Linked DNA regions of Rhinolophus ferrumequinum. The protein of the gene in region 1 interacts with the protein of each later gene in a pairwise test. Links are inferred from orthologs where the notes say so. Each region holds a gene or a part of one and is shown in the gene's direction. Other genes may lie near its edges.

Region 1 (8,375 bases):
ATTAGTGTTTTTGTGTTCTTTGGATAAATACCCAGAAGTGGAACTGCTGGGTCAGATGGTATAACTATTTTTAGCTTTTTTGAGGAACCTCCATACTGTTTTTCATAGAGGCTGTACCAGTTCGCAGGCCCACCAACAGTGCACAAGGGTTCCCTTTTCTCCACAGCCTTGCCAACACATTTGCTTTTTGACTTTTTGATAATAGCCATTCTGACTAGTGTGAGGTGGTATCTTGTTGTGGTTTTCATTTGCATTTTTCTGATGATTAGTGATGTTGAGCACCTTTTCATGTCTGTTGGCTATCTGTATGTCTTCTTTGGAGGAGGTAGCATGGTCCCTGATCTCAGACTATACTACAACACTATAATAATAAAAACAGTACTGGACTGGCACAAAAACGGACACATAGATCAATGGAATAGAAAGAGAGCCCAGAAATAAACCCTTGCTTATATGGTCACTAATCTATGACAGAAGAGGTAAAAATATACACTGGAGTAACAACAATCTCTTCAACAAGTCGTGTTGGGAAACTGGATAGATACAAGAACATGCAAAAAAATGAAAGTGGACCACTGTCTTATACCATATACAAAAATAAACTCAAAATGGGTCTAAAGACTTAAATGTAAGGCCTGAAGCCATAAAACTTCTAAAAAAAAACACACACACAGGAAATAAGCATCATTCTGAGTAATACTTTTTTGGATATGTCCCCTTGAGCAAGGTAAACAAATGCAAAAGCAAACAAATGAGACCAAGTCAAATTAAAAAGCTTCTGTGCAGTGAAAGACACCTCAACAAAACCAAACGGCAGCCCATTGGATGTGGGACTATATTCACAAATGATATATCCAATAAGGGGATTATATCCAAAATATATAAGAAACACATACAACTCAATAACAAAAAAAATAAACAATCCAATCAAAAAATGGGCAGAGGACATAAATCTTTTTGATTAATTCATACTGACTTAGTTCAGATCACACACCACCAGGAATCTAATATTTTCGTTTCCTGTACCCCTCCTATTCACCATCCAAGGATCCCAACAGAGATTTAAGACCCGTCATCATTTCACTGGTGAGGAAACAAGAAGAGAAAAATTAAACAACACAGCTAAAGTCACTCAGTCAATCAGTGATAGAATAAGGAGCAACAGGACAACATGATACATTTATTAGATATAACATGGACTTTGAATTTAGAAGTTCTGACAATAACTTGAAGATATTACCCCCCATGCAATCCAATTTCCTTATCTTGAGTTGTTTCCCATCTTAAAAAAAAATTAAAAGGAATGAATGAATGAATGAAATATACCAGGTGAATATCTTCCAAATATTTGATGGGTTCAATTTTTTTTTTTAAATGAAATTATGTATGAAATTCCCGCATATAAAACAAGCAAAATCAGAGATTCTCTGGTTGTATCAATACTGGGGCAATCTAAAGACTTTCTTGTTTGGTCTGTCGTGCTTCACCTTTGGCTATAATTTTTCTTCCTATAAAAGAAAATGCTGAGTTTAAGTTTAATGCACAAAAAAATAAATAAATAAAACATAGTCAACATATTCAACCAAAATATGGATGGCCCATGTAATAAAAAGCAAATGCAAAAGAGAAAGAAGAGTCACTGTGGTGGAAGAAAGAGAGACAATGGCACATATAACTTAAAACAAATATACAAACAAAAAAACAGCTCCCACTTAAAAATAATAACCACCATTCTTCATTTTCCCCTGTTCTTCTAAGGCAATTTAAAGATAAGTTGGTTGTGATTTGGGACTAGAACTTGGAATTACCTAGAGTTTATTTCTTAGTTCACAAGAAGCATAATTGTTTGTTTTCTTGTCTATTTCCCCCAGTAGATAGGACTATTGAGACACTGCCCAACACATTGGATACAGAATACCAACGGAAATAGAATGCTTGTCCTTTTGGAGTTCAAAAACCAAATCAGACAATAGAACTGGGTTATTTTATGTTATAATATATGAAGGTAGTTATACATGTATTGTACATATGGTATTACTTTTTAAGTACTTTCATTTATTTTTACACATTCATTTATATATCAACCCAACATATATTTATTGATAACCTACAATGAATCAGAAGTTAGTTTAGGTACATGGGATATATCAGTGACCAAGACAAGCGATATTCTTAACTCATGGAGCTTACAAACATGTGGATGGGAGACTAATCATAAACAGTTGAGATATACAAGTTCTGACAATTATGTTCGCAAACTCACCCTAGAAAAAGTTCTACATACCTCATTGCTGAATATCACTACGGTCACCTGCAAAATATTCCCCTTGGGAAACTATGCACCAATACCAGCGCCTAATCCACGCTTCAAAGCAATTTTGGAACTCTTTTTATGGAATGGCCATCAGAGCTGTCATCGTATTATCCTTGATGTCCTGAATGTCATCAAAATGTCTTCCTTTCAATATTTCTTTTACCTTCAGGTAAAGAAAGAAGTCATTGGGGGCCAGATCAGGTGAGTAGGGAGAGCGCTCCAATACAGTTATTTGTTTACTGGCTAAAAACTCCCTCACAGACAGTGCCGTGTGAGCTGGTGCATAGCTGTGATGCAAGAGCCATGAATTGTTGTCATTTTCATCTTTTTCACGCAGCTTTTTCAGCACTTCCAAATAGTAAACTTGGTTAACTGTTTGTCCAGTTGGTACAGATTAATAATGAATAATCCTTCTGATATCAAAAAGGTTAGCAACATCGTTTTGACTCTTGATTTGGACTGACGGAATTTTTGTGGTTGTGGAGAATTGGCTGACTTCCACTGCGCATTTTGACACTTTGCTTCAGGGTCATATTGATACACTAATATTTCATCACCAGTTATAACACAGCCCAACACATTGTCTTGCCTTTCCTAAAGGTCTTGGCAAACTTCGACTCTCCTTTGTTTTTGTTCATTGGTGAGCATCCTTCAGGATCATTTTGCACACGCATATCTCATGCCAAGATTTTCAGTTAAGATTTTTCTAGCTGTTTCTCTATCAATGTTTACTTGGTCTGCTGTGCTTTTCACAGTCTGCCGATGATTTTGATGCACAATTCAATGAATATTTGCAATGTTTTCATCAATTCTGCTCATTACTGTCCACCCTGGCCTCTCTTCATCAGTGACACGTTCTCTCCCCTCAGAAAAACATTTAATCCATTTGCACACTGCTTTTCTTCATGGCACTATCCCCATAAACTCAGACTAATATGTCCCTGATTTCACTTCCTTTCTTGCCAAGTTTAACAAGAAATTTAATGTTTGTCCGTTGCTCTAATTCAAGCGCAGACATTCTCATGATGGCACACAAAAACATGCAACAACAATAATGAAGGCGACTCAGCAAGACACCGCCACATGTCGGCACAAACACAGCTGTGAGACACTGATATAAGAAGGTTATGAAAATTTCTTCAAGGACCTGAGAGCCATCTCTTTGAATGCAAACAATCAGGGAGTTAGGGACATACCTCTTGCTCTCCCAGTTCCTGTGGGAGGATAAGAGGGTGTAACGTCAGTGGGAGCACCACCCAGTTTCAACACCACTGCCTCCTGTCATGAGGATAGTTTTTTTCTCTTCTGGATATGCATCAGTTAACAAATCCAGATGACGTCACATGAATTAATTCTCACCACCCCCCTTAAGGAGATTCAGTGCCTTTTCCTGAGCTCACCCAAGCCTTTAAAAAGTCTTCAGTCCTTTTTTTTTGGAGAAGTTGAGTTTAGTTCATGCTTGGTCCTCTTCTCTGTTGTAATAGCACTACTGAGGGACATCTGTCCTCATTGCTTCAATGTCAGATATCTCCTTCATTCTGTTCACTTTAGTCTTGTAAATGGGTCGGATACATCACTAGTTTCCAGCAAGGATAACTGTTTTCCATATCTCCTTAATTGGGGCATTACAATAGCAATTGGATGAGAGAGAGAGAAAAATCAAACATTTAACATAATATTTCAGTCCCAGAATTCTTCATAAGCAGTTACTAGCAATATAGGCGGACAGAATGGTGAAAGAGGCAGTTTCTGAAAAAAAAAAAGATCATGAATTGTGCAGAAACAGTAGATTTTGGTTTGATTCCTTCCTTCAATGTTTTTATTAGCTTCTTAAAAGTGAGCAAGGGACTAAAATTTCTGTGTCTTATCTTCGTCATTTAAAAGAAGGACAAATAATACCTACCACAAGGACTTGTTGGAAAATTAAGATTGAATGAAAAAAACATGTGCACAGGGTAGTACCTACCTCATGGTAATTGTTTAATAAATAATTACTACTTTTTATTATTAATCTCTAACAAATCCCAGAAAAGCTTTGTTTCCTCTCTGTGTCGTTACAGCAATGTCCCTCTTTATGGCATCCTTCATATATCCATCTGTGGATTTACTCTATGAAACAATGAGCTCCTTCACAGGTATCATTTTTTCTTGTATCCCCAGCTCCTGCCAATTGAAAAGACGGGCATTTGACAAATGTTTAGTGAATGACTGAATACATGAATAAATGAAGGAATGTGTAGTTATAGTGAAGTAATGGTAAACTTAAGGTACCAAAATTTTTTTTACATTTGTATAGGCCAAGTCAATTAATGATGTCAAATTCAGTTGTAAAAATAATGAAAACAGCATAAGATGTCAATCTTTTCATATTTCTTTTATTTGGTCTGAAACAAAGCCCAACCTGTTATGAGACCTTATAATTTCCTTAAGAGTCATCAGTCTCAGAAACAGGATCTAAAGGTACAAATGGGAACTTAACACAGCATCGTCTCCATTTCCTGCTTTTGGATAACTGGTAGGACTACTTAAGCTCAAGTTGTTAAAGCTCAGTAAAGGCCTATCCCACGTGATTTGACTCATAGATCCTCTTTTGTTCACAAGGAGTTGTCTTGGAAGAGAGGAAAGAGCTCTCAAATGCTCTGTCAATTCAGGAACGCAATAGAACAATGGAATATCACCCTGACTTAGAAAATTTGGATGAAGATGGATATACTAAATTAGACTTCAGCTCTCGAAATGTCCCCAGGAGACCTGTGTTCTCAGAGAAAGGTATTTTTTCTTTATGCCTTCAACATTTTCATTCTCATCAACTAAAAACTTAAGTGGAGAAAACTTGAGAGGCTTGTGATTTGTGGGGATTTTATTACTACATTTTAAAAGTTTTTCAGAAGTCACTGAAGATAATTTGAATGTGCACTAAGACATTTTTCATGGCAACCATTCAGTGGCTAATTAATAGTGTTTAAATTAATTATGATGATGACAGAAAATACAATGTGTCTGTTCCATAGAAATAGAAACTTCTGTAGTGAGGAGTTGGTAATACGTATGACGAATTGCAAAGATGAAAGAATTTCAATAGGAGTGGCTTATTGCTTGTTTGATAGAAAGGTCTAAATTGTAGAATGGAAGTTCAGGAAACTTAAAGAAGTATATTAACAATATCAGGATACTGGAGATGAGAAAGAGAAGAATGAAAAGAAGAAAGATAGGTGAGGGAAAAAAACAAACTTGTGATTTTGTGGTAAAGGCCAAAGGGAAGTCAGAAGTCATAGGATTTATAATCCCAAATTTGATATGTGTACTGTGGTAAGAGCTTGATTTGGATTTTTTTAAACAAAAAGCAATTCTTCATATACCAGTGAATAAAAATATATGTTATAGATGAAAAGAATTTATTAGCAGGACATGAGTCTTAAACAAAACGTAAAAATGATATATGGAGAATAGTGTTAAAAGATTTCTCTCCTCATAAAATGAGCCATTTAGTCTCCTTTATGATTCTCCTATTTGACAACTCTGAAATGTTGTTACTGCTTATTCTCAGTCAAAGGCAAAACTATGTTCTTGGTGGTGATGTTAACATAAATTAGACCCCTGTTATCAAGAGAGATTATTCATAGGTTTTGACATCAGTTTGCTCTCTTCTGCTTTCTGGTAGTTCACATTGCACAATTATTTTTCTCTCACCACTTACGCAATACTTTTCTTGGGTAACCTTTTGGGGGAGAGTGGAAAAATTGGATAATGCAAAAGGTAGGGAGGCGTGCATGTGTTTATGCATAGGTGTGGACAAACCTGTAATGTGCTAGTCATCTCTGAACTGGGTGCTTTTACATGTGTTATCTCATTTAATTCCCACAATAATCCTTTGAAGTATTATTACCCCAATATTGTACAAAGAGAAATGGAAAAACAGAAGAAGTAATTTGCCCAAGATCATGCAACAAATAAGTAAAAAGGGAAGATTACCCTTAGTCATCAGTGTTATTTCCCCTGTATTTCTGCTGTATCTTCCAAGAATGAGTGGGATTTCATGAATCCTGGTGGTGTGAGTTGTAGAGCCATCAATGTGGAACTGAAATCAGGAGTGCATAGTTATCAACTCACTGAAATCAGGAGTGCATAGTTATCAACTCACTCAAATTACATTTCCAGAACCTGAAGACGAATGCTGAAGTTGGGGGAAAATTCAGACTAATTCTGGATAACTGGAGTATCTGGTTATCAGTGATTAATGGTTCACTTCAGAATTTGCCAGATTTTAATGAATTATAGAATTTAAGTACTCCACAATCCATTGTCTTATTTCTTCATTCAATTTCTGCTCTGTCTGGTCTTCAGGATATTGTGGGATATCTCACTGGCGTTCCATTGCTGTGATTTTGGGAATCCTATGCTTGATAATACTGGTGATAGCTGTGGTCCTGGGTGCCACGGGTGAGTATTGCTGGGGAAGATTAACAAGAAACATTTAATAAGCATTTATAATATAGTAGACAATTTTTTAAAAGCTTGGCATGCATAATCTAATTTAATCTGTATATTAACCCTATTGAATTGGTGTTATTAATTTCCAGTTTATTAATAAGGGAAGTGAGAGCCTGGGAATTTATTTTACTTTTCCAGGATCATAAACTAGTTAGTGGTAAGACCACAATTAGAAATTTAGGACATCTGTCTGAAAAATTCAGACTTTTAAGTACATTGCTCTATTACCATCCTTGAATGGCTGATTTCAAAGCTGTAGAATTCCCAGGATAAATTAATGGAAGAAAACTAGTAAAGGTTAAGATGGAAGTATATTTTGGTGCTAGCTTCCTAATAAAACAAATGCCCTAAAGAGACTATAAGCTATTTTTATGAATCTCATGATTTAAGGAAACTATTTTAAACCTCATCTTTAATCTAAACTCCTTTGGATTATACCAGTTACTTACCTGAGGCACTTACTAAATACTAAGTACATATTTTGTGATTAATGAATGACTTTCCTTAGATTTTATATCTCAAGCATTCTATTGTCAATAAAGTATTATTGTGCTCTCAGGGAGTCTTTATTAGATTCCTTAATTATTCAAATGTTTATTGGGTACAGTCTATGTTATAAGTACTGGACAGGTTTTCAAGGAGCTCTCATTTTTAAAACACAGAGAAAGGTAGAAAATTTACTATAATTTCAAATCTATCATGGCTCCAATTAACTCTATTCTATCTGTCACTTGCTTTCTCCTTAATACTTATTCTCCTTCTCAACCTGCTTCATTTTTCTCTTTTTTACTATACCGTCCATGTGGAAGTTATTTTTTTCTATCTATTTAATCTATCTATCATCTGTCTATCTATCTATCTATCTATCTATCTATCTATCTATCTATCTATCTATCTACCTACCATCTATATATATATATATATATATATCTGTCATGCGGGGTATCACGTGGGGTCTCAGCTCCCGCTCAGGTGCTACCTGAGCCAGCACCTTTCCACATGAGGCCGAGAGCCTGGAAACTGCACCCCTGGCTTTGTCCCCACACTGTCCATCTATCTATCATCTCTCTGTCTTTACCCCTCCATCAGCAGTGTATTACCTATTAATCATTAATCAAGAATGCATCTCTTTATATTACAACAAAAATATGGGTTTGGGGATTTTAATTTTCAAACATAGTAAAATGATTTTTTGTTGTTGTTGTCATTATTGTTGTTGGTGGCATGTGAAGGTATGTGGAGATCCAATTCAGGAAGCAACTCATTGAAGAATGACAATTTTCCGTCAAGGAATAAAGAGAACCACAGTCAATCCACACAATCATCTTTAGAACAGAGTGTGGCTCCTACCAAGGCTCTCAAAACCACAGGCAAGGGCAGAGTTAAATGATTAATGGAATTCTGGATTCAGAAGAGTTAATTATTGGTGTTCCAGCCTAGAGCGGGGGTGGGGGGTGGGTGAAGAGAGCACTTTTACATGATTGTGCATTCAAGGAAAGCACACATCAGTATTATCTCACTCTAATATGCCCCTGTCATATATACAATAAAGTGATATCATAGATACCCT
Region 2 (8,082 bases), on another chromosome or scaffold:
CGACAGTGCCAAGGACGAGGGACCCTGCGACACGGGAAGTGGACTCTCCCAGGGGAAAAAGCACAGGCAGCAAATCTAGGGTTTGAGCCCTGGCCGTGCCTCCCTAACTCTGTAACTTGGGGCAAATTACTCTTTAAGCCTTAGTTACCACACCCACAGCAATGGAGATAATAGTATATGCAGTTACTGCAGAGGCTGTCGTGAGGATTAAATAAAATAACCTATATACAACATTGGTATATGGCAGGCAGTCAACAAGGAAAGGAATGAATGAATGATTACGGAAGGGCTTCTTATCTCTGACATAAAGGAGTGCCATTCCTAGCATGGAGTTCTGCTTTGGAATAGTGGGTATGGGAAAGCGGGGTGGGGATTCCTGAGCTGCTTCATCATAAGGGCTCCTGGATTCTGCTGAACGAACTATTTGCTTAGTACAGAGTGTAGGCTCTGGCTCTAATTCTCACCAGCTATGTGGTCCAGGGCAAAATAGCTATCTGACTTCCTTATGCCTCAGTTCTTCCATCTATAAAATGGGAATAACATTATCACCTATTTTGTGGGGATTAAAGTGGCTAATGCAGAAAGCACTCATGACAGTGGTCCATACATAGCAAGTGCCCAGTAAGTCTGACCTTCACCCTTCTTGTTATAAGGCTGCGGAGGAGACACCAGACGCTAAGTGAAAAGGCCAAGGAAATTCGGTGGATGGCTAAGACGTTCCAGAGGGAGGTGTCATCTCTGGAAGGGTAAAACCCAGAAGGTGACAGACAGCAGCTGTGACAACAGGGGAATCAGGCACAGCTCTGGACACAAAAGCAACCGGTACTCAGGGAGTGATAATTCTGAGAACAGTCCGGATCGTTCCAGAAGACTGAAACGTGCTGCTGGACTGAGGAAAGTGGGCCATAGCAGGCGGGCGCCCTGTGGGGGCTCAGGGCGTACAGTACTAAAAGCTGCCCTATACAGGGCAGAATGACAGTGAGTGAGATGGTAATCAGGCCTTGTCACAAGCAGTCCTGAGAGCTCAGCCTTTCTCCAACCACGCTGGGCTGCCCAGAGGTGGGAGCCAAGCCCTGTAGCCAGCCTGACCCTGGATGCCAGGGGCACAGGCAGTCGTCAGGGATTTACTCTATGCCAGCTTAGTCCCCAGGGCAGGGCTTTTAACTTCAGTGCCCTAGACAGATGTGGGCGGGTGTGTGTGTGTGTTTATGGACAGGCTCTAGAGTGCTCCCTCCATTCTAAAGGTTAATAACCACTACGCTGGGAAGTTCTAACTGAAAATTCTTAAACCTGCGAGGACGCAGCACTGTTTGCTCCATTCCCCATCAGACCATAAGCTCCTCCACTCGACTGTAATTTCCTGTAGAACAAAACCCACAAAAACTGTCTTGTGTCTCATTCACTACTGTACTCCCAGGCCTAGAACAGTGTCAAAAAAGAAAAATGTTTTTAAAAACTAGTTCGTTGGCCTAATTAATTGGTGCTTGTGTCCCTTTCAGCATCCTTTCTCCAGCTGCCTGCCTTCTGAGGGGCTGAAAACGTTTCAGAATTTCATTTCTGTAAGCCGTTAGATTGTGAGAAAGTCCCAAATTTACTGAAGCTCACAGTGACAATTCCAGTCTCACAACACACACTTATGTGGGGCAGAGAAACAAGACCTCCCTCCCCCAGTTCCTTCTCCACCCACCCTTGCTACAATAAATTATAAAAACAGAGACCCGCCGCCTCCAGTTCCCACGCTGCTCAAAGCTGACAACACACGACTGCAGGCAGACTTCCACGAGCACACAGGTCAGCCACACATCGGCTTAAGCCAATCAGTCCTGTGCAGGTAGTGGCTTGAGAAAATACTAGATTTGAGAATGATCGGGATGACCAGAGCCTTTACCAAAGCTGGAGACAAGTAAGGCGTCTTGCAGACACTGCCCACGCTCTGTCTGACAGGCAGCTCTGACACACGTGCCACCTGGGGGCAGCCCACAGTGGGAGCCCAGGGGCTGCGGGACTGGATCACTTTTCTATTTTGGGAGCAGCCCACGCTCCCCTCTGTCTCCGAAGCCGAGCAGGCAGGATGCCCACTCAGGAGGAAAAGACAACATGCTCTTGACTCTTTCACTGCCAAGACAGGGCCCAGGGCTCCGAAGGTCCATCTCTCGTGCAAACCCTTCTATTCAACAGAGCCTGAGCCAAAGGAAAACCGCAATCCCTACTCCCTACCAGAAAGGAGAAAACCCAACTGGAGTCTCTATGCTTCATTCTATGTCCATCCAGTTCTAGAGCCCAGGTTCCAGCTGCCGAACACAAAATATCCTTGACCCAGGGTGGGAAGAACTCATCCTGGCCGGTTCCCAACACAGGACTGAAGGGCTACAGACGCCGCGGAGCGTGAGAGGCACTGCGGAAATCAGAAACCAAGACTGGAGGTTGCCTGGCAAAGGACTGGAGTCATGAGGCTGGGGCGCCGGCAGGAGTCAGGAGTCCCCAGGTGCCCTGAAACGGGCTCCCGTGAACCAAGGACACTGGACTCCAAGTCCTTCTGGGCCCTTTCAGTCCAACAGTCTTCCAGCCTCTTTCCTTTCATTCAGAATCCCAAAAATGTGAGCCATAAGGGACCTCAGGACGTATCACATCCAAATTTCTCCTTTTAAGGACGAGGACGCTCAGGCCCAAGGTCACACCGTGAGACGCGGCAAGGCGAGGACCTAACCTGGCTCTCCCGATTTCGGTCCTGCGGGGTTCTCAGGGCTCATCCCTTCCGGGTTCTCCTCCATCTCGGACTCCACCCTCACCTCCCCCACCCCTGCAGCCCTCAAGTCCCCCCCACCTTTGCTGACCCCAAAACCGCAAAGCTCGGTGCCCGCCCCAAGTTCACCGCTGTGGGGATCCCTCCCTCCACGTGCTTCCTTCCCAACCTCCCACCCACCCAACCTCTTCTTTCAGCTCCGTCCCGGGTTAGGGGGCCCCCCACCCGCTCCCTCCAAAACTGCACCCTCCTCCCTCGCCCGCGCCCCAGCCCGGCGCCCGGGCCCCGCCCGCCTGGAGGCCCCGCCCCTCGCTGTCCCCCCACTTCCCTCCGCGACTGCACTCACGCCCCGGCCCCTCTCACCGGTAAAGCCGCTTGGTGTGGAGGACCTTTGCTTCGGGCTCGCTGCTCTCCCCTGGGGGGGGGCCTTGGCTCATGGTGCCCGGGCCCGGGGGCGGCTTCCGGTCACAGGCCCCCGCCACCCACCGCTACCTCCACCACTGCCGTCTCCGGCCGTAGCCGCAGCCGCCACCGCTGCCGGCCCTGCTCGGCCGCCATCGCTGAGGCGGCTGCCCGCGACTCCTCCTCCGCCTGCCAAATCTCGCGATAGCAGCTGCACAGCTGCGGGCCAGTGGCCGGCGGCTACCAAATCTCGCGAAACTCGTTTTCCCTCCCGGGAAGTTGCCAGAACTAACTCTGGGCAGCATGGCCTCTTTCCGGCTTCTTCAAGCCCTTGCGAAAAACTTTATTGACAAAGCTGCTCGAGAACGGACAGTGGACCCAGCCAGAAGGGGGAAGCTAAGCTCAGTGGGGCAAATGGGCTCACGCTAGAGCTGGGAGCGGATTTTGCGTTGTCCTACGGTGGTCATTTATAATCCACCCTTCTGCCCCTTCACCTCCCCTCACTCCATTTGAGTCGAGTCTCTTTCAGATTATGGTCAGAATTTTTTAGGAAAAAAATGTCACAAAGCTCAAATGCCTTTAGTGGTGAGGTCCCACAGGAACGAGAAGTCCCTCTCTCACTCATGTTTCTGCCCCCGGGTCGACCCATTGAAAAGATCACCTTGGATTCCTATTGCTCTCTTGACCTTAAACCTAAGGTAAAAAGCAAGGTATTTGGGGGTGGGGGACTGTGTACGCGTTGAAATGGGAACATAAATACCCCCTCCGCCACTGTGCCGCTGGTTCCAGCCACCGCCCTTCTTTCTGTTCCTGAAACTGCCAGTCTTTCTCACTCATTGGCCTTTCACTTGCTGTTCCACTGCCTGCAACACTCCCACTCCTCATTTCCCTTCAGGTCTCAGCTCAAAAGGCACCTTGGCAGAAAGGTTTTCCCTGTTGAAATTGTCTCATTTATTGAGTCGCTAGGCTTCTTTATTATCTGTGACCCCAAGAGAACGGGCTCCGCAAGGGCCGAGCCTTTGCCTGTTATCTTGTTGTCTCTGGAGTCTGTGCCTAGAACAGTGCCTGGCTAATAACAGGTGCTCAGTAAATGTGAATAAATAAGTGTAGAAATTCCATCTCTTTTCTGGGTATTCCAACCTACTCCAAGCACCCTGTGATGCACAAACCCCATGGTCCCCCTCTGTTTTCGTGAGCCAGGAGCCCTTACACATGCCATTTGCCTAGAACACACGCTTACTTCTATGCCCAGCTGCACCCCCACTTTCAGAAAGGATGACAGGCGACCTCTAAGGCTTTTTCTGTCGGCAGATTCAGCAGGGCGGGGCCTGCCCCTTTAAGCTGGGCCCCACCTGCTCCGGTCAGACTGGTTTGGAAACACAGGTAAAGGGAGGGAGACCAGAGGGTTACTTGCAGAGCCAGCAGGGAGCTGGGCAGCTCCTTCCCAGACACTGTGGGGACTGGGGACCCTGCGTCTCTCTCCAGATGGAAAGTAAGAGGGTGTCATGGGCCAAAATGGCAAGGGGTAGGAAGCCATTGTGGAGGTGGAGGGAGGGGCTGAGCCCCATCAAGAAGCAGAGAGACGGAGAACGGAGGGGACGGCAGGGAGGGGAGAGACCGGCGAGGAGGCATGGGGAACAGCCATGGTAGGACCTAGAAGTCAGAATGGACAGACGCAGGCCCTCTGCAGATGGATGAGGTGGGCTAGTGAGGAGTTTGGCAACTGCCCATGTCCCCAGACTAGAGACGAAAGAACAGGGTGCACTGCTATGCCAGTTCCCTGGGACAGATTTGTTGGCAAATCACTGGGATCAGTTACCAGGAGGGTTCCAAGCAGGGATCTGCAGGGAAGGCGAGGTTTGAAGGTGAAGGGGCAGCTTCTCTGTCCGCAAGGAGGTCCTTAGTGGGAAGGCAGCTCTTGGCAAAATTCTAGGCACCTCCTGTCCCTCCCTTTCCTGCATGAAGGTGGCCATGACCCCAGGGGTTTTGGTGGAGGGGAGCAGAAGGCGTGGGTGGGGACTGGCTGAGGCCACAACTGCCAAGACCTATGCCCCCTGACTCACCCGCTCCTGCTGGCTGGCGTTTGATGTCAGAAGGGTGCCTCCATTTCAGCTGCTCACGTCTCTCCTTCCTCACTCTGTTTCAACACCTTCCTGCATGCCATGTTCTCCCCAAGGTCCCAGAAGGGGAGTGCCAACTGCCCTGGAGAGTTCGGTTCTGTCAACCCATCCTAAGGGCCAGAGGACGGAACTTCTGACAGAGCTTTCCTGTTAATCTCTAGGGTGACATGACCTCACGGTAGACCCCAGAACTGAGGTCCCAGGATGACAGAGCCCGAACACCTGGCCCTGCTGGAAGTGAAGGGGCCAGAGGCCCAGGAGAAGAGCTCACCCCAAGCCTTGGTCCCCAATGGCCGGCAGCCAGAAGGGGAAAGTGGGGCCGAGTCCCCCAGCGCTGAGCCCTCCAGCGTGGGATCTTCAGCTGGGTCTCCCACAGCTGGAGAGGGGACAAAGGATGGTCTGGACAGCACAGTGAGCGAGGCTGCCACCTTGCCCTGGGGGACTGGCCCCCAGGCCACTGCCCCATTCCCGGACCCCCCCGGCTGGCGGGACATGGGGCCTGAGCTCCTGGAGTCGGAGCCGCCTGGCAAACCAGAGGAGCTGTGTGACGATGACGTGGACCTGCTGCCCGAGAAGGCGCCACGGGCCTTTGTGCCCATCGACCTGCAGTGCATCGAGCGGCGGCCCCAGGAGGACCTTGCTGTGCGCTGTGAGGCCGGTGAGGCAGAGCGCCGCCGGACCTTCCTGCCCACCCGAGCCACCCCTCCTGAGCCCTCAGAGCGCAAGTGGGCCGAGGCCGTGGTGAGGCCACCCGGCCGCTCCTGTGGGGGCTGCGGGGGCCACGAGGGGCTGAGGGCTGTGGCCTCCGTGGCAGCCGCCCTGGTCCTCTTCCCCTGCCTGCTGTACGGGGCGTACGCCTTCCTGCCCTTCGATGCCCCTCGGCTGCCCACCATGAGTTCCCGCCTCGTCTACACGCTGCGCTGCGGGGTCTTCGCCACCTTCCCCATCGTGCTGGGTGAGCCTGGGCCCTGTGAGAAGGAAGGGGCATCTGGGAGCTGGACTCGAGGGCAGGGCCTGCCTGGCTGGGGAGCAGAAGTTTCCCTTTACTGAGGCTGGACCCTCGGGGCCTTGCGCGCTCTGCCACCCTGTGTGCCTGCCCCTCCCAGGACCCCAAGCCCCACTGTGGAGACCCATGCCCATGAGCTCTCCACCATGCGCCCTGCCCCCGCTTCCTGCCTCGTGCTCTCTGACCCTGCATCTCCATCCCTGCCAGGCCTCCTTGTGTACGGGCTGAGTCTGCTGTGCTTTTCCGCCCTGCGGCCCTTTGGGGAGCCCCGGCGGGAGGTAGAGATCCACCGGCAGTACGTGGCCCAGTCGGTCCAGCTCTTCATCCTCTACTTCTTCAACCTGGCCGTGCTTTCCACCTACCTGCCCCAAGACACCCTCAAACTGCTCCCTCTGCTCACTGGCCTCTTCGCCATCTCCCGGTGAGCTGCGGCTGGGGGTGGGGCACAGGGGAGGTAATGGCGCTAGAGGGACCCAGGTGAGTGAATGTGCAGAGAGCCCGGGTCGCGGGGTCCGGGAGCTGTCTGGATCCTGCGCTGGCCCAAATGTGCGCCCTGGAAAGGTGAGTCCACTTTCTCCCTTGCACCTTACCTCACCTGGTAGCAGGTGATCAGCTCAAACGTCTTCCCACAGGAAGCCGATTTCGGAGACTCATATACCATCTAGAACTGGAAGGGCTTCCAGGTGTCATTGCAGCCACCCACCGGTGACACTCTGGTCAGGTAGCCGTTGGCCTCTAGTTGGACACCCCCTGTGACCAAGGGCTCAGTTCTTTATCTGGCAGTCTGTTTCGTTTTTCAAAGGTCCTCGTTATTAGGAAGTTCTTTGTGTTGTGCTAAAGACTGCTGCCCTGACCCTGATCTCTGGAATTGCCTAGGACAAATTCGGATATTTGACAACAGCTCTGTTCCCCTACTCCAGCACCCTGCTCCCCGTGTTTACTTTGCTAAGTGGCCCTGACCCCTTCACCGTCTTTCTCTATGGGCAGGAAATTCTCCTGCTGGTCAAATGGGGTGAGGGTGGGGGGCTGGTGAAAGGTATTGGTCTTCGGCTCATACAAACCAAGGCCACGTTAGCTCTCACGGCAGCCTCATTACTCTCCTTTCATTTCGAATTTAGTCCCATGAAATCCTTAGGGGTGTTTCCATGGGAACTACTGTTAACCCAGAAGACACCTTTGAATTTCTGAAGCCAAATAAACACAGGTCTTTCCATTTTTGCCCCTAATACATTTCCTTTTGTCACTATCAATATACAATTCCCGGTAGCTTTAACTGCTAAGAAAGTCTTCCTATCGAGCTAACATTTGTCTTCCTGTTACTTTTGATTGTAGTCTAGTTGTCCTCTGTCCCCTCAGCCTCCTAACCATCACACAGTCCTGTATTTTCTCCCAGGAGATGTTTCCCGAGATAAATGTTCCTCCACCTTTTGTAACTCCACCTCCGTCTCTGGGAGTGCTGGTGTCAGGTAGAAGTTGGCTTAGGCGGTAAGACTCATCAGGGAGCTAAAGACTCAGCGACTGTCTGGTCCATCTGACCCATTTCCTGGAGAGGAAACCACGACAGACTGGGGGAATCTCAGGGCAGGACTAGAATCCAGGTCCCCTCCCTCCCTCATCCAAGGTGCTTTCTTCTCTACCACAGGCAAGTTCCTTAAGCATTTTGTGTCTCCATTTCATCATCTCTGAACTCGAGTTGTGAGGATTAAATGAGTTAATTTTTGTAGAGTGCATACAACAGTTTGGCACTTGGTAAGGGTTCGCTGTGAACTTTTATTGTTATTACAACTCGCTGCCTCCTGGGGCAGTAGAGA
Region 3 (8,002 bases), on another chromosome or scaffold:
TGCCGGCCACTCATGCTGGGCTGGCTGCCGGCCGCTCCTGGCAGCACGCAGCAGCCCAGCTCCAGGGAGAGCTGTTGTTCACAATCTTAGCTGTAGAGGGCGCAGCTCACTGGCTCATGTGGGAATCGAACCGGTGACCTCGGCTTTAGGAGCACGGTGCTCCAACCACCTGAGCCACCAGGTTGGCCCAATTGTGTGGTTCTTATTCTCTCAGAATGTTACTCCACCTAGTGTAATGTACAGAGGTCACCTGCCTATCTCTTTTTAGTACACTGTCTCTTTAATTGTACTCATTGTGTTCCTGTGATACTTATAAGTTAGCTGTTTGGTTAATATGTGTACATGATTTCACAGAAAGCAAAGGAATTGTAATTTCCTTTCACCATTTAACAAAAAAAAAAACAATGGGGTTGAGCTATACGTGATTGTTTAATCTCCATGTCTGACAGACCCGTGAGGTATGTGATGTTCTTGGCCAAGCAGTTGCTGCTACGTTTATGTTAGCTCTTCGGAAGTGGAAGAACACTCAGCATGTGTGTGATATCAAAATGTTGCTTTGGGAAATCTGCTAGATAGAAAGTATTTTATTTGGGGTAGGGTGACCTTTTAAGTTACTGAAAAGCTTTTAGATAGTGCCATATTTAATTACTCCCCTCTTGCTTTTTACTGTGTTTGTTTTTTTTGTTTTTTGTTTTTTTTAGCTCATTATACAACACTGAACTGAACAAAACAAGAAGCCTTATTGATTCCTTCAAGTGATTTTTGGGCAGAACAGCTTATTCAGGCATCTAACATGTGCTACCCAAATTGCTGATAAGTTGAAGTTCTTTTTCTTTTTGCAAAACTGTGAAAAACAGGAGATGAACTCATTGTAGAGATTATCTCTGCCTTGGGATTTTATCTTTAGTTCAAGGGTCAAAGCAGAGTGTTAATAACAAATTATTGAAATATTTGGAATAATGAAATCTTTCTCTGACTTTTTTTGTTTACCATCGTAGGGGAACTATTCACTTTGATTACAAATTAGTAAACACACAGATCTGAATTATTTCCAAAGCTAAAAGGTTATTTTCTAGTTTTACTTTTAAGAAAACTATTGTTAGTTTTACTCTTAAGAAAACTATTAAGTTACTTAAGAATATTTGTGTAGGACATATAGGTCGTAAAAATCAGAAGGTAATAGGAAAATCAAGGTAGCAGTATAACTCTTGTTGTTTAACATGGGAAGCACAGCCTTTTTTCTCCTTTTTAAACATCTACCATGACGTTCTTGCTCCCCCAGTATGACAGGAAGGCTTTTAAGGCTATGACACATGAAACTTCACTGTTTATAATACTATTTTTAACACATAAGTAACTGGTGTCTTGAGTACCTGCTTGTGCAAAAAGACCAATTCTTTTTTTTTTTTTTTTTTAAATAGGAATGTCAGTGACTATTTCTGTTCTGGATTCCAGCATTAGGTATTTGAAATAAATAAAGGCTTTGGGGAAAGAAGATAAGACATAATGAAATGTGTCACCCCGGTTAGGGTTAGAGTGACACGTGGGGCCTTGTCATCTTGTGGAAAATGAGAACTAGTACTCTTTTTCTTTCCCTCTCCCTCCCCACCCCTAACTTTCCCACACCCCTTCTTGAAAGAGGATTGAACTGGTGACCATAAAACTATGAAGAGTGTGTACAACAATAGTCATGAATATAATGACAATCACTGGACCAACCTTCGCCATGTACTACTATGTTGGAGAAAGTGGAAGGATGGGTCTCTGAATCTCTTAGTGAGTCTCAGAAACTTGTATTAGAAAATATCTCATGTGCTGTGTATATGTACCATCCGGCATGACAGAACAGTTTTCAGTTTGTAAGGAGGCTTTGAATATAATAGAGCCTGCATGTTTTTTTTTTTTTTTTTTAATTTTAAAGCTTGATTGGTAGAAAGAGAATTCACTCTGAGATTGTTTTCTACTTTGTATTGCTTGGACAGCACAATCATATCTGACCATGTTTCCTTTCCAAGTAAGAAGGGACTTAGGATTGGTAGAATTAGAACATTAAAAAATTCTGAGGCTGTGAATAGGGAGTAAACTAGGTGATGGAAAAAAGGCACATGTAGTTCATCTATTGAGAAAGATAAGTTTGCTTTCCCCCCCATTTTTCTCAAAAGATAAAGCTGATATGGAGCCTCTTAATGAATATCTGTGTACATAATTTTCTCTGCAGTACTGTTTTTCCATAGATGATATTTCTGGAAGAGAATTATTAAGTTAAAGGAAATCTACCTTTTTAAGGCTCCTAATACATATTGCCAAGTTACCCTCCACTGAAGCCTTGATTTTAATAACATTAGAAACAGTAATTTCGTTAATGGTTAACCATTGCCATTTGGAGAATGGTTAAAGTATGGTATAGCTTTATGATGAGAAGCAAAGCAATGTTTAAAAGAATGAAGTAAGGCAATATATATTGATGTTGAAAGACATCTGCAAGTTGTTAGGTAAGGAATGCTACTTACCGAAAGATATATACAGTATGATTCCATGTTTTTGTAAAAGCTCTAGAAGTTTACATGTAAAAGTTTTAAAAGTGGTTTCCTTTGGTATAGGAATGTGAGATTGGGAGAAGTATTAATTTCTACTTTATGTACTGATGTTGGCATTTTCAAGGAACACATTTTTGTAAATAATTTTTTTTAAAGGAGTATAATTATAACATTAGCTAACACATAGCACTTACCATGTACTAGGCACCTTTTGTATTTTTTTTATGTGCTTTATTCATTTCATCCTCCTAACTATGAAGTAGATACAGTTATTATTCTTACTTTACAGATTAGAAAACTGAGAGATCTAGGGTGTAACAGGTATAAGTGATAGGATGGGAGTCTGGCTTCCGTCTGTGCACTTAACCACTATACTAGTAATATATGCACAAACAATATTGTCTGCCTAAAGTAGAAATGCCTTCAGTTAGGCTGAGGGTTAGGGCCATTGCAGAAATCACTTCACTAAGCTTTTCTAGGTATGTCTCCTCAAGTTCCTAGGTTATGATTCCTTACATATTTTTTGCAGGAAGTAGAAATGGTTTAGAAATCCTTCAAAAAAGTAAGGTCTAGAAAACCTGCTATTGTTACACCCCTTTTTCTCTTTGGTCAGCTACAAGTGAACATTAATTTTATTTTGAGGAAGATTTGCTTCCACAGAGACCTCTCCAGAACTCCTGATAGCTTATGCAGTCCTGCTTCTGCCAGAGCAGAAGCAGGCTTTTTATTTGTTTTTGTTTATTTTACACATTGGGCTTTTGTACAAGAAGAACAGGTCCCATTGGTTTAAAGTAAGTTTGAAAATTCTAGAAACAGTAGAAAAAAAGTTTATCATATACCGCTGTCTTTCTGTGTCTCTCTCTTTCTAGTTAAAATATTTTGCAGAGCCCTAAATTTAGGACTGCGTTTGGCATATGTTTTATACACGCCAGAGGCACTGCAAATATTTAGTAAAATTACGTTCAGTGTTAGGTCTGTCTTAGCTTTGTTAGTTAAGTTTGTTGATCCATGTTGAGTTCTATCTAGTCTGTGTCCATTTTTGTGTGTATATAGAACGAGAACACGGAGATGTCATACAACTGTTTTTTGACAGTATCGTCCCAAAGAATCGGTGCTGATTAAGGGATTGTGACAACCCCGGGACGGCCTTAGAGGGAAAGGAAGGAAAGGGTAACTTCATTTTTATTTAGCAAACACTGTTTTAAGTGCTTTACAAATAAAAACTCTTTTAAGTAGTATATAACAGCATCTACTGTTTACTAGGTCCTTTACCTATGTTCCTATATTTAATCTTTATAGCAGCCCTGGAAGGTAGGTACTATGTAATCTGTTTTACAAATGAGGAAACTCAGGGTCAGAAAGTCAGATAGATAGTAAGGGGTGGAGTCAGATTTCCAACCAGGTTTGCCTTTGAGCTTTTCCTTCTGATGATGCTGAGTTCACTTCTGGATCTGGAATAGTCATCACCTCATTTAGAGTGCCTTTGGGTTTCGAACCTGTTTTCATGATTATTCTGATTTACTGGTAGAAGACTGTTCAGCCACAAAACTCTCTCTAATGCTTCTGCTGGGAGTTTAGAGGAATGGCCCCACCAACCCGCTTGACTGTACTTTCTAAAACAAATTTTATTGTAAAGAATGGAAATTATGAGAAAAAACATACACTACTGTCTCTTTTTGTTGTAAGGTTGGCTTATTGGCTGCCAACATGTCCCTTCTCACCCTCTATCCACCAACACATTAGCTACCTGAATGTGTTCAGCAAACTCATTGAACCAATAAATATTTTCAAGACCTAGCCAAATTACCAGAGCCACGCCCCTTTCCTGTGGCTCCACTCCCTTTGTTCCCCTGAGAAAACTTAAGTGTTGCCTGTAGCAGATCCTCAGCCATTTCTGCCCCGCAAAACTAATGAGGCTTAATGAAAACCCTAGAAAGTAGGAACTCGTGGGAGAGAAGAGAGAAAAGACAAGTTCACAAGGTATGTTTAATGCGTAGAGAAAGAGTGAGGTATAAAGAAAAGGAAGAAACTAATTCGTGGGATAGAGGTAAAACTTTTTTCAGAATTTTTAGCAACCTGATTTAGTTGAGAGCCGGCTGCGTTAATTTTATGCTCCAGATTTGTACACAAATTGAAATTTTTTTGATTGTATTTAAGTTCCCTCTCTAGGAGCTTCTCAGTTGTTTGTGCTAAGTATGACTTAGTTGTTAATTTATTTAGATGACTTTTATGAAGTTTTTAAGTCGTATGTTTATTTCATTTGTGGAGAGGATACAACTAAATGGCTGGGGTAGACTATGAAAAAATCATATATAACTAGAATATTGAAGGTAAGTAGCCTGTCTAAAAATAAAATAGCGATTTATTTTTTAAAAAGTGACCTAAAAGCTTTTACTGAAGTGTTTATTGTATATAAACTAAGCTTTAACCAGAGAGAAAATTGACTGAAAGATACATTTTCTAAGATACTAGTTTTAGAGTCCCAGCTTCTAAATTGGTTGCTTATGTGAGCTACATCAGGGACAGAACTATATAGATTTTTAGATGTTTATTGCTCTTTGCTTATTTTCTTCAGAATTCTTTCTGCATTTGGTTTAGGTGAGTCAGACTTATCTGAATTCCCCATATTCACATCTGTGTGCACATGACAGACTGCAGTTCTGCTGTGGTTAACGTAAGTTATCTGACTTGTCCAACAGGTTCCTGGGTGGAGCTACCCATGAACAGCACCAATGGCAATGATAATGGCAACGGGAAAAACGGGGGGCTGGAACACGTCCCTTCCTCATCCTCCATCCACAATGGAGACATGGAGAAGATTCTCTTGGATGCACAACATGAATCAGGACAGAGTAGTTCAAGAGGCAGCTCTCACTGTGACAGGTAAGTAAGAGCCGCATTTTGGTAGAATTCAGGAAACAGATGGGTTACAAGGGGAACTCCCGTTAGAAAAAATAAATGCTTACATCTTCATTTAATCAAAATAGGATTCTTGATTTAGTGCAGCATGTGTATTTAAATCAGACAGCTGACTGACAAGTACTTGAGTGCCCTTTGTTTTCCCCCAGATTAAATCAATGTCCTTACCAGATTGTATCATTTTTAGATGTTTATCAGTTTAAAAGTCAATGGCATAAATGTTTTTTCTTTTTTTTTTTTAAAGATTTTATTGGGGAAGGGGTACAGGACTTTATTGGGGAACAGTGTGTATTTCCAGGCCTTTTTTCCAAGTCAAGTTGTTGTCCTTTCCGTCTTAGTTGTGGAGGGCTCAGCTCAGCTCCAGGTCCAGTTGCCGTTTTCTAGTTGCAGGGGGCACAGCCCACCATCCCTTGTGGGAGTTGAACCGGCAACCTTGTGGTTGAGAGGACACGCTCCAACCAACTGAGCCATCCAGGAGCTCAGCGGCAGCTCAGTTCAAGGTGCCCTGTTCAATCTTAGTTGCAGGGGGCAGAGCCCACCATCCCTTGCGGGACTCGAGGAATTGAACTGGCAACCTTGTGGTTGAGAGCCCACTGGCCCATGTGGGAATCGAACCGGCAGCCTTCGGAGTTAGGAGCATGGAGCTCTAACCGCCTGAGCCACCAGGCCAGCCCCATAAATGTTTATGTACAGAATTAATCTGACTTTCTTCCATTTTCCTTTGTGCCTCTGTTTCACAGATCACATTCTCCTAGACTACGGTTATCTCTGTGTATCTCTGTCCTCCCTTCTAGATGGTGAGGCTTTAAAAGGCAGGGGTCATGTTTCATCTCCTTTGTACTCTCACAGTAACGGGGCTGGCATGTAGTAGACACTCAGTAAATGTTTGTGTCATAGGAACTGCAAATTGATTCAAGTTACAGCAGTATTTACACGGAAACACCAACCAAGGTCTGTAAAGATAGTTCATTTTGAAGGTCATTCTGTTTTCTTAGAGCAAGTTTTATTTCAGACCTCATTTTGGTATATTTGAGTTAAGAAAACTAATTCCACTGATTAAGGGCTGCTTATGGTGAAAGAATAAGAATATAGAGATAGGTATGAGTGTAATGAAACCGAGCTATGTTTATTTTTCAGTATAAGTGAAGTGTCTCTTTTTTTTAGAGGGTCCAGCTATTAAATGACAGTGGTATATTGAACAATGCTTAGACCAGTGGCAGCCATACTGGTAGTATGCTGGGGTGCTGGATGATCTTCTGGTTAATTAAGAGTTAACTGATATCTGCCCTGTAGAAAATGCAAATGCACATGAAAAAGATGAAGGAAACATTTAAAAATGTAGACAGTGATTAGGGGGTAGAATTACAGGTTTTTCTTCTAAGTATTTTTGTGTTTTGTAAAAATTGTGTATATGGCACATATTATTGCTTATCAGAAAAAATATAAAAGGAGAAACAGAGTTAAATTGTGTTTGAAGTGCCTGTATGTCTTATGACCCAGGCACGTTCCCAAGGCAGCAGAGGACTGGTTTGCCTGCTCTGTGCACCCCCACCACCCCATCTCCTCTCTGACTTTTCCCTGTGCTTCTTAAAAGCCTGGGGTAGCTCTAACATAAGCAGAAGCAGAACAGATGGCCCTTTTCTGAGCAGCTTGCCATTGATTCCAGTAGCTACAGCGTTAGTCTGTCTTTCAGAATGAAGTTTATATTAATACACAGGCAGACCTCAGAGATATTGTGGGTTTGGTTCCAGATCACCACAGAAAAACAAAAACTAAAGTGCGTTGTAATCTTTTTGCTGGTGGAGGGTCTCTTGCCTTCAATTTGTAAAAAATGCAACATCTGTGACGTGCAATAATAAAGTGAAGCGGACAAAATAAAAGTGCACAAAATAAAATACCAATGCATCAGTGGGCCTCTGAAGTTTTCTGTTCATTGAGGGCCTGTTGAGAAAGCTTTTCCTGTACATCCAAGTTTACATGACCATTAATCATTGGTGCCAGTGTGTCCCTTAACTTGTTGTTTACTTGGTGCTCTCATGGAGCAGAGAGAAAGTCACCAGCTTGCCTTTCAGGTTATCTTGTTTCATTTATGGTTGCAATTATCCTTGTGGTTCAATATGAATTCACCTTCCCGTGATTGTCTGTACGTTGTGTTTCTAAAGATGTGAAGTGAGGTATGGCAAATGCTTTTGAACACTTTCTTATCGCTTGGCCTGTGTATCTTGAGGCTCTGGGTTACGGGTCATGTTTCAGAGGAGGCCTAGAACTCTTATCTAGCTCTAGTACTCTCCGGGGATGCAGCACACGTGAACATTTAAAAGTGTCTTCCGAATTCATGCCGTTTGAATTGCCATGCATCTCTATGTTTGAAGTTGTTGAGGGGTGTTTCTTGTAGGTGGAAAAGTTGTAGAATTGTTGGATATTAGTCCCAAAGCTAATTTATGTGTACTTTCAATTTAAAAATGGTTCCACCGATATATTTTTGTCACTATGGTGGTCATTAGCAGATAACTCTTTGTGTTTTGCTTTGTGTTCCACCCTGTTGT

What was found.
Region 2: the proteins of CLEC7A (region 1) and TMEM79 interact in binary tests that used the Homo sapiens proteins (3 or more experiments, as listed by UniProt). The two-hybrid records come from large-scale screens. The link is inferred for Rhinolophus ferrumequinum from reciprocal best matches to the Homo sapiens genes CLEC7A and TMEM79.
Region 3: the proteins of CLEC7A (region 1) and BNIP3L interact in binary tests that used the Homo sapiens proteins (3 or more experiments, as listed by UniProt). The two-hybrid records come from large-scale screens. The link is inferred for Rhinolophus ferrumequinum from reciprocal best matches to the Homo sapiens genes CLEC7A and BNIP3L.

What each region holds. Positions count from the first base shown.
Region 1 is NC_046293.1:25,859,479-25,867,853, reverse strand, and holds the start of CLEC7A (C-type lectin domain family 7 member A), read left to right. Parts: upstream 1-4,886; 5' UTR 4,887-4,980; coding exon 4,981-5,083; intron 5,084-6,658; coding exon 6,659-6,754; intron 6,755-8,037; coding exon 8,038-8,175; intron 8,176-8,375.
Region 2 is NC_046305.1:816,174-824,255, forward strand, and holds the start of TMEM79 (transmembrane protein 79), read left to right. Parts: upstream 1-4,520; 5' UTR 4,521-4,637; intron 4,638-5,426; 5' UTR 5,427-5,469; coding exon 5,470-6,220; intron 6,221-6,478; coding exon 6,479-6,692; intron 6,693-8,082. Other genes in the region: nonsense-mediated mRNA decay factor SMG5, read right to left, coding at 3,107-3,180.
Region 3 is NC_046301.1:40,966,632-40,974,633, reverse strand, and holds the start of BNIP3L (BCL2/adenovirus E1B 19 kDa protein-interacting protein 3-like), read left to right. Parts: upstream 1-4,440; 5' UTR 4,441-4,457; coding exon 4,458-4,584; intron 4,585-5,236; coding exon 5,237-5,420; intron 5,421-8,002.